2 linked regions of the Xenopus tropicalis genome follow. The protein of the gene in region 1 interacts with the protein of each later gene in a pairwise test. Links are inferred from orthologs where the notes say so. Each region holds a gene or a part of one and is shown on either strand. Other genes may lie near its edges.

The links.
Region 2: the proteins of plaa (region 1) and ubxn1 interact in binary tests that used the Homo sapiens proteins (3 or more experiments, as listed by UniProt). The two-hybrid records come from large-scale screens. The link is inferred for Xenopus tropicalis from reciprocal best matches to the Homo sapiens genes PLAA and UBXN1.

What each region holds. Positions count from the first base shown.
Region 1 is NC_030677.2:122,240,377-122,243,944, reverse strand, and holds part of plaa (phospholipase A-2-activating protein), read left to right. Parts: intron 1-1,238; coding exon 1,239-1,396; intron 1,397-2,123; coding exon 2,124-2,340; intron 2,341-2,906; coding exon 2,907-2,969; intron 2,970-3,236; coding exon of another isoform or gene 3,237-3,308; intron 3,309-3,568. UniProt on the Homo sapiens protein: Plays a role in protein ubiquitination, sorting and degradation through its association with VCP. Involved in ubiquitin-mediated membrane proteins trafficking to late endosomes in an ESCRT-dependent manner, and hence plays a role in synaptic vesicle recycling.
Region 2 is NC_030680.2:37,007,040-37,011,360, reverse strand, and holds the start of ubxn1 (UBX domain-containing protein 1), read right to left. Parts: upstream 2,813-4,321; 5' UTR 2,454-2,812; intron 1,959-2,453; 5' UTR 1,957-1,958; coding exon 1,898-1,956; intron 1,312-1,897; coding exon 1,258-1,311; intron 1,179-1,257; coding exon 1,072-1,178; intron 1-1,071.

The sequences.
Region 1 (3,568 bases):
AGTTACTAGTGATTTTATGGTGTCATATCAATTGCATGTCTTTTAGCACTAATAATTTACACTTTCCTAAAAAGGGGACTCTGCTTTTCTAGCATCCTTAAATATTGTGCTGTCTAGCGTTAAAAAATGGCTAATAGTGTTATTGACAAGTTCCAGGATTTTATAGGTACATGTAAATATCAGTTCTGCCACTAACCTAGTGGCTCAGTACTAAAACATGGCATCATCCCAGCCTTACATTAAATACTTGTGCTGGCCACCCAATACCTTTTAAGTTACAAAGTGATGATGTTTAGCCTGGGGCACGGGACTAGGAACAGTGGTGGACAAAATGCTCTCCTGCTTGTTATCACTCCTGTAAAGTAAATAAAATCCCTGTAGTGGACTTACATGGCTGGCACAAGACAAGAGGTCCATGGCACCATAACCCATAACTCTTGAGCATTTTTGTGCAGAAGTTCTCCTGACACTGCTCTGTTTGCATTCAATAGAGTTTTACATTTACTGCAATCAGTAGTGGTGACAGGCGTACAAGCGTTTTGAGTGCTGCTTTTCTCCACCAGAGTGCAGTGGTGGTCAAAATACCTATGTGCCAAAGCCCATAGAGTTAAAGCCCTAAAAATTCTAAGCAACACAGTGAATATAAAGACTTATAAAGGGTAAATGTAGACCTGAAACATTGCTGTACTGGTCTGTGCCAATTATGTGAATAAAGGCTTTTATTATAAGAAGATTGAAGTATGGAGTGCTGTCCATAACTTGAGGATTACATACAAGGCAATGTTTTCTTGCAGTGTTACTCAACATTATTTTTAAGCTATAAATAATGGGTATAACAAACAATATAGTGGTAATTTATGAGCAATTAGTGCAGTATGCAAAATGCACTTTTAGATGCAATCACTACTTTTTTTTTTTTTTACCCATACATTTTTTCCCATAATTTCCATGTAAAAGCAGTCGGAAGGGGGCAATGCTTCTGACACCTTAGTAGCTGATTTGTTAAAATAAGCACTGCATCTGTTGACACAGGCTGCAGGGGGGAACCATGTAGATACAGGTTGTGCCTGCATCAGAAGGCACCCTGCACTTAAATTGGAACAGAAGGCATAACTGAATGCAAAGCAGTACGAAAGAGCTTGGAGTGTTTTTTCACACAAGTAAAAGAGCCCTTATGATTCAGCACCTAAGTGTTTTTGTTTTTCTTTTTAATTACTATTGCTTGTTTTACTTTTAAGGAACCAGGGATGGGCAGACCAGGCTAATCAAAGAAGATGGGAAGGTTGAAGCCTACCAGTGGAGCACTGGTGAAGGACGCTGGATGAAGATTGGAGATGTAGTGGGCTCATCTGGTGCAACACAGCAAACATCTGGAAAAGTCTTGTTTGAGGGCAAAGTATGTGAATGGTTAAGAATTTCCTTTCACAAAAGCCACAGTGGAGAATACAGATTTAGGGTGAATACACACAGAAAAACTATTAGCAGCTACTTTTTCATGGCTACTAAAGGCAAACAATACCCTGCCATAGACAATACTGAGAATTGCCTCTGCTAAAACACACGTAGAGACCGTTATCAGTAAATGATCAGCATTGTCTGTTTTAGTAGCCACAACTAGTAGCTTTGTGTGTCTTCACCCTTTGGGCCGTGGTAGACGGGGAGATTAGTCGCCCGTGATAAATCTCCCTTGTTGCGGGCGACTAATCTCCCCAATATGCCATCCCACTGGCTTGAATGTAAATCACCGGTGGAATGGCATATGCGGTGCCACGATTTCCTATATGCCATCCCACCGGCGATTTACATTCAACCACGGCCCTTAAGGTTTATAGCATTGTTGGTAAAAGATAATTATAAAGTGTCAGCAATAGATGTGTGTACACATCAAACATAAAGATTCATACAAATACTGACAGATACAAGAGGTAAAGTGGGGAAAACTAGGTAATGCCTACACTCTAAAAAGTCAGGTGAGTATAAGGAGACGTAAGGTGTCCTTTTTCTGTATTACACAGTTTACTGAAAACAAGCATATCTGCAGTACCCAAATTTGTATAAAACACTTTGGCTGATTCTGACAATATTTTGTCTACTTTTTAAATTTAGTTGTTTTTTGTTCACAGGAGTATGATTACGTGTTTACAATTGATGTGAATGAGAGTGGGCCCTCCTTCAAGTTACCATATAACCTGACAGAGGATCCTTGGCTTGTTGCATACAACTTTTTGCAGAAGAATGATCTGAATCCCATGTTCTTAGATCAGGTAGCCAAATTTATCATCGATAACACTGCTGGCCAGACACAGTCTACAAACTCAGGCTTTGCAGATCCGTTCACAGGTAATGGTCAGCTGAGTATAGCTTTTTTTTTTTGTATGTAGGCTTGCCTTATTAATAGTGAAGTTTATTCAGCTTTACATGCTTTGCCATAGACTAACATTGGGATTGCAGTGAGTAAAACATATTACTCATGACAATCTGCATAATCATTGGAAGTTGTAAGGGAGGCAATTTCCCGCATTTAAGCCAGCTAGTAATATGTTTTACTTGCAGCAATCCCATTACTTGCAGATTGTCATGAGTAATATGTTTTACTCACAGCAATCCCAATGTTAATCTATTTTCAGGGAGATTTGTAGCCAATGGTAGTGATCTTTTAACTACAAATCACCCTGTGTGTCATTGTCCCTAAAGTCTAAATCGCCTATCTGTATTGTCAAGTTAACAAGCTGATTAAAGCAGAGTTAAATCACTTGTGACAAGTAATAATGAAAGGCAGATTGTCCACACTTGAAAACATGACAAGCAGTGACAGAAATCAACAAAAATGACGCCCATTACCAGTACACATTTCAAAAATAAGATTCTCCAATGTTTTTTTTTTTTTTTTTTTACTCTTTCTCTAGGTAGTGGGCGTTACATTCCAGGAAGCTCTTCTACTAATAATATGGGAGCTGATCCATTTACAGGTACATCCAAACATTTAAAACATTATGAAAGTGTAGAAAACTGTCAACAATGTTTCAGCATTAGCAAAGAAATGAACTGATTAAAGCAAAAGTAACAGATCGAGACATCTGTTTTTTTCCACTTTTTGATCTCTGCAGTGTTTATTTTTATACTGTTTGGTGAGATACACTACTATTATGTGTTATGTGGGATGACTCCACTTTACAGGCTAAAACAACACAAATCAAGCCCTGCATTAACATATTATTGGTTTTGCAACATTGCAGGTGGAAATCGCTATGTACCTAGTTCATCATCGCACTCGGACTATTCCACAGCTGCAGCTGATCCATTTACAGGTGAAAAACAGAACTTAATGGTCTTTATAAAAAACAATAGAACCCAATAAACCTGATGGAAAAAAATACATATATATTTGTATTGTATTATCATTAGGCTTTTTCTTCAATCATTTTAAAGGAATTCTTCCATGTTTTTTTAAATTTTGGTTTTAAACCAACAAATCTATTTTTTAATGTTGTAATATTGATGTGTAGGCAGCACTTTTGAAGTTTATCAGAGCACAGTTCACATGGCTGTAGCACCCTGGGAAATGAAG
Region 2 (4,321 bases), on another chromosome or scaffold:
AATATCTCAATCAATTTTTAAAGTCAAACCATTAGTTTTTATAAAACTATGTATTTAAAAGCAATACAGGAGAAGAAAACAGAGGGTTTCAGAAAGAAGGGAACCCAGAATCCCTCTGGTTAATGTCTTTAAAGGGTACATACATATTTTTTAAAAAAAGTGATTTCTCATCTTCATTTCTTATCTCAATTAAACTTCTAATTATTTCTGTTTAGAGCTCAAATTCCTGCAATGATGTAAACCAATGAGTTTCATATAGGATCTCAGACCACGGAGGTCAAACTGCTTTGTTATGATTTGTAAACCAGGCCTAATGCAATTAGATATGACAGAGAATCCAGACTACTCGTGAAGGAGAGCATAAAGTGTAAGGTTATATAAAGAGAATACACATATAAGGACAGGCACCCCTTAAATTAAACAATATTTATTACTTTACTAGTTAATTAAATCCAACAGTAGGCATTAGTGTTACTCTGTAATTCTGGATGACAACACTAGGCGACCTTTTGATTTAAATGTAACCTACTATCACGGGTGATGTAATAAAAACTGATAGGGTTATGTATTAAAAGACACTAATTATGTTAAAGTGCAGTACCCAATAGCAATCAACTGCAGATAGCATTTACTGATCACCTGTTTAAAAGAACACCTTATTGGTTGCTATGGGTTACAGAACCTTGGCAAATGTAGTGCATTTTACTAAGAGGGTTAGACATTAGTTAAATAATTCACCTACTGCAGAGTTACAAATTAAAGTATCTTTAACTATGTGCCAAAGATTTGCTATGCTTAATTTTACACTTGTATGTATATTTAATTCATATGTTTCACATCCAACATCCCATATATGGATAAGCATGCTGCAGACTGCAATGGCTTCTGCACCGACATGCAATAGGCATCTAAATTATTTGATTGTGTCCACTGCAACAAATTGATGATTTGTGTTTTGATTTTGTTGGTTTATTTTTCATTTAATTTGCCCACGAGTTATACAGGGATGGCTGTCATGGAACACCTTTGTAACTGTAAGATGAATATGATTACTAAAAATCAACCCCTAACCTTCACAGGTGTCCATGCCTTGTGTATCTGTTGTACCAGAATCACTATCTTCAGGGACAACCACACTTGGTTCATCAATATCAGGATCATCTTCATGTTCTACTAACCTGAGGATAAACATTAATTGTGAATGGACAACACTGGCAAAACCGCAGACTGTAAACACTGACAAATTAATGTACCTACCAGTCCATAGCTGGTTCTATTCCCTGATTGCCAGTAGCAGCCAATGCCTTCTCTCTGTAAGAACATGTGCAAAATAAAATGACCTATTGGTAAAGGCACACAACAAAGCTACAAAAAATGTGCTAAGTGTTTACAAACATCTCGCCTGATGTGAAATGCTAAGTTGACCTTAAAGGAATACGGTTATTATATCCCTTATCCATATATCCATTATCCAGAGAGCTCTGAAATTTGGAAAGGCCAACTTTAAGTATAATAATAATTGAATAATTCTAATTGTTAAAAAAAAAAAAAATCTTTTTTCTCTGCAATAATGAGAGTATCTAATACTTGATGGTAACTAAGCTGCATGAATCCATATTGGCGGCAAAACAATCCTACTTGGTTTATTTAATGTTTACATTTTTTTCAGCATTTTTAAGGCTCGGTGATCCAAATTACAGAAAGATCCCTTATCTAGAAAACTCCACTGTCCAAGCATTACAGATAATAGATCCTATACCTATATTTGTAATACAATGCAGACATGCAATCCATGGTCATTGAAAATGTGATGAGGCCCACTATAATACTGTAGTGTTATTATGATATACAATCTGACTGATTTACACAACATAGGATTAAAGGGTGAAATAATTACGCTCTACTGGGTGAAAATCCCATCTCAATGAGACTCTCCAGCGTGGAACACTCAGCCATCTCTAAGAAAAACATACAAAAAGAAAGGATACATTTTTAGCTCCACACAGAGAAATCAATGAAATATAATGTATATTAGGAATGCCACCTTGTCTGTATTCTACTGTCCAGCCGGCAACCCTATTATATAGATAAATAGCAGACTAATGGAATGATTCATTGATATGTCCATATAATGAAAGCAGGGTTTATAATGGTTTCATTCAAGATACATTTACAGACAGTATGATTGTTATTAAATGTGAGTGCCTAGACATGTATAGATTGCATGGTACTGCTTAAGGGCTTTATGATCATAAATAACAGTTCAAATGGAAAAAATCACTATAAGCTACTGCAGCACTACTAAACAGGATTAGTAATAGGACTTTAGAACTTTAACAAGGCATTTTTTATGTAATACATTTTTTTGTAAATTTTCATTACATTTTATTCTTCCTGCCTTCCAATATGTAATATGATGCAAAAGAAAAAAAAACGTTTCAACAACATTTTACCTCCTAAAAATGTAATTAGATCAGAGCTACATAGACATCCTTTCTCTTCAGTGTGTTTGCTGAAATGAGGAATGGGGGGGAGGGGGTCGCTTCATTCTTTCACAGGAAGTAGTCATAGTACTGACAGACAGAACTTTGCAGTAGCGGAGGAAACTCCTCCCCAGCCCCGCCCCTCTGTGTCTGTTCCCAACCTGCACAGTGGCCGAATATCATACATTGCCATACTGCACTAGAAACATACCTCCCAAGTTGGCAGCTTTTCACGGGACAGCCCGATTAACATAAGGCAGCTGGCTGTCCCAGTGTATTGTTTACATTCCCCACATTGCCCGAACTGCTCCCGTAGCTCCTGATCTTTCCCGCATTCGGCTCTTCCGGCGTGACGTCACACCGGCTCATCTCGCGAGATTGCGGCGCCTCAGATTTCTGCTTTCAGTTTAAGTTTTCCTATGCTCTGCTCCTCACATACCTCCATGCTTAATCTTCCGTCCAATGCTATCATCCCCTTCAGTGCTGATGGCTCCTCCCTCCACCTTTGAAAATGGAAATCTCTTGTTGAGCAAGCACGGACCTTCTTGTAAATTCTCTGGCAAGAGAAAGATAAGGGAGGAGATACGTCCAGGATAAAGAAGGGCTCACAGAGCTGATAGAATGCTGACAATAAATGTGCTCAAAGGAGAATTTACTTGGTTAAAGGTGAAGGAAGGAGGCATAAACACTAAAGGGTATGGCAGCACATAGTATTCAGCTTTCCAACTCACCTCCTTCCTGCTTACAGAGGGGAGCGCACAGGGAGCCACAATAGGATATAAGGGTATTTTTCCTCTATGCATTTATCCAGTCTCACACTAGGAGGTTAGAAAGGCTGGAAGCCGAAATGTAACATGACAGTGCAACCCAGAGTCTGTCATGAAATACTGGTGGATACTCTCACTGTGGCTGTAATAAAATGCAGGTCTCACTGTGTCATGAAGTGCTGGGGGACTCTCACTGTGGGTGTCATGAAGTGCTGGGGCACTCTCACTGTGAGTGTCATGAAGTGCTGGGGGACTCTCACTGTGGGTGTTATGAAGTGCTGGGGGACTCTCACTGTGAGTGTCATGAAGTGCTGGGGGACTCTCACTGTGGGTGTTATGAAGTGCTGGTGGGACTCTCACTGTGGGTGTTATGAAGTGCTGGGGGGACTCTCACTGTGGGTGTTATGAAGTGCTGGGGGACTCTCACTGTGAGTGTTATGAAGTGCTGGGGGACTCTCACTGTGGGTGTTATGAAGTGCTGGGGGACTCTCACTGTGTCATGAAGTGCTGGGGGACTCTCACTGTGAGTGTCATGAAGTGCTGGGGGGACTCTCACTGTGGGTGTTATGAGGTGCTGGGGGGACTCTCTCACTATGGCTGTGATTTATTGCTGGGGGGACTCTCACTGTGGGTGTTATGAAGTGCTGGGGGGACTCTCACTGTGGGTGTTATGAAGTGCTGGGGGACTCTCACTGTGGGTGTTATGAAGTGCTGGGGGACTCTCACTGTGGGTGTTATGAAGTGCTGGGGGGACTCTCACTGTGGGTGTTATGAAGTGCTGGGGGACTCTCACTGTGGGTGTTATGAAGTGCTGGGGGACTCTCACTGTGGGTGTTATGAAGTGCTGGGGGGACTCTCACTGTGGGTGTTATGAAGTGCTGGGGGACTCTCACTGTAGGTGTTATGAAGTGCTGGGGGACTCTCACTGTGGGTGTTATGAAGTGCTGGGGGGACTCTCACTGTGGGTGTTATGAAGTGCTGGGGGACTCTCACTGTGGGTGTTATGAAGTGCTGGGGGACTCTCACTGTGGGTGTTATGAAGTGCTGGGGGACTCTCACTGTGAGTGTCAT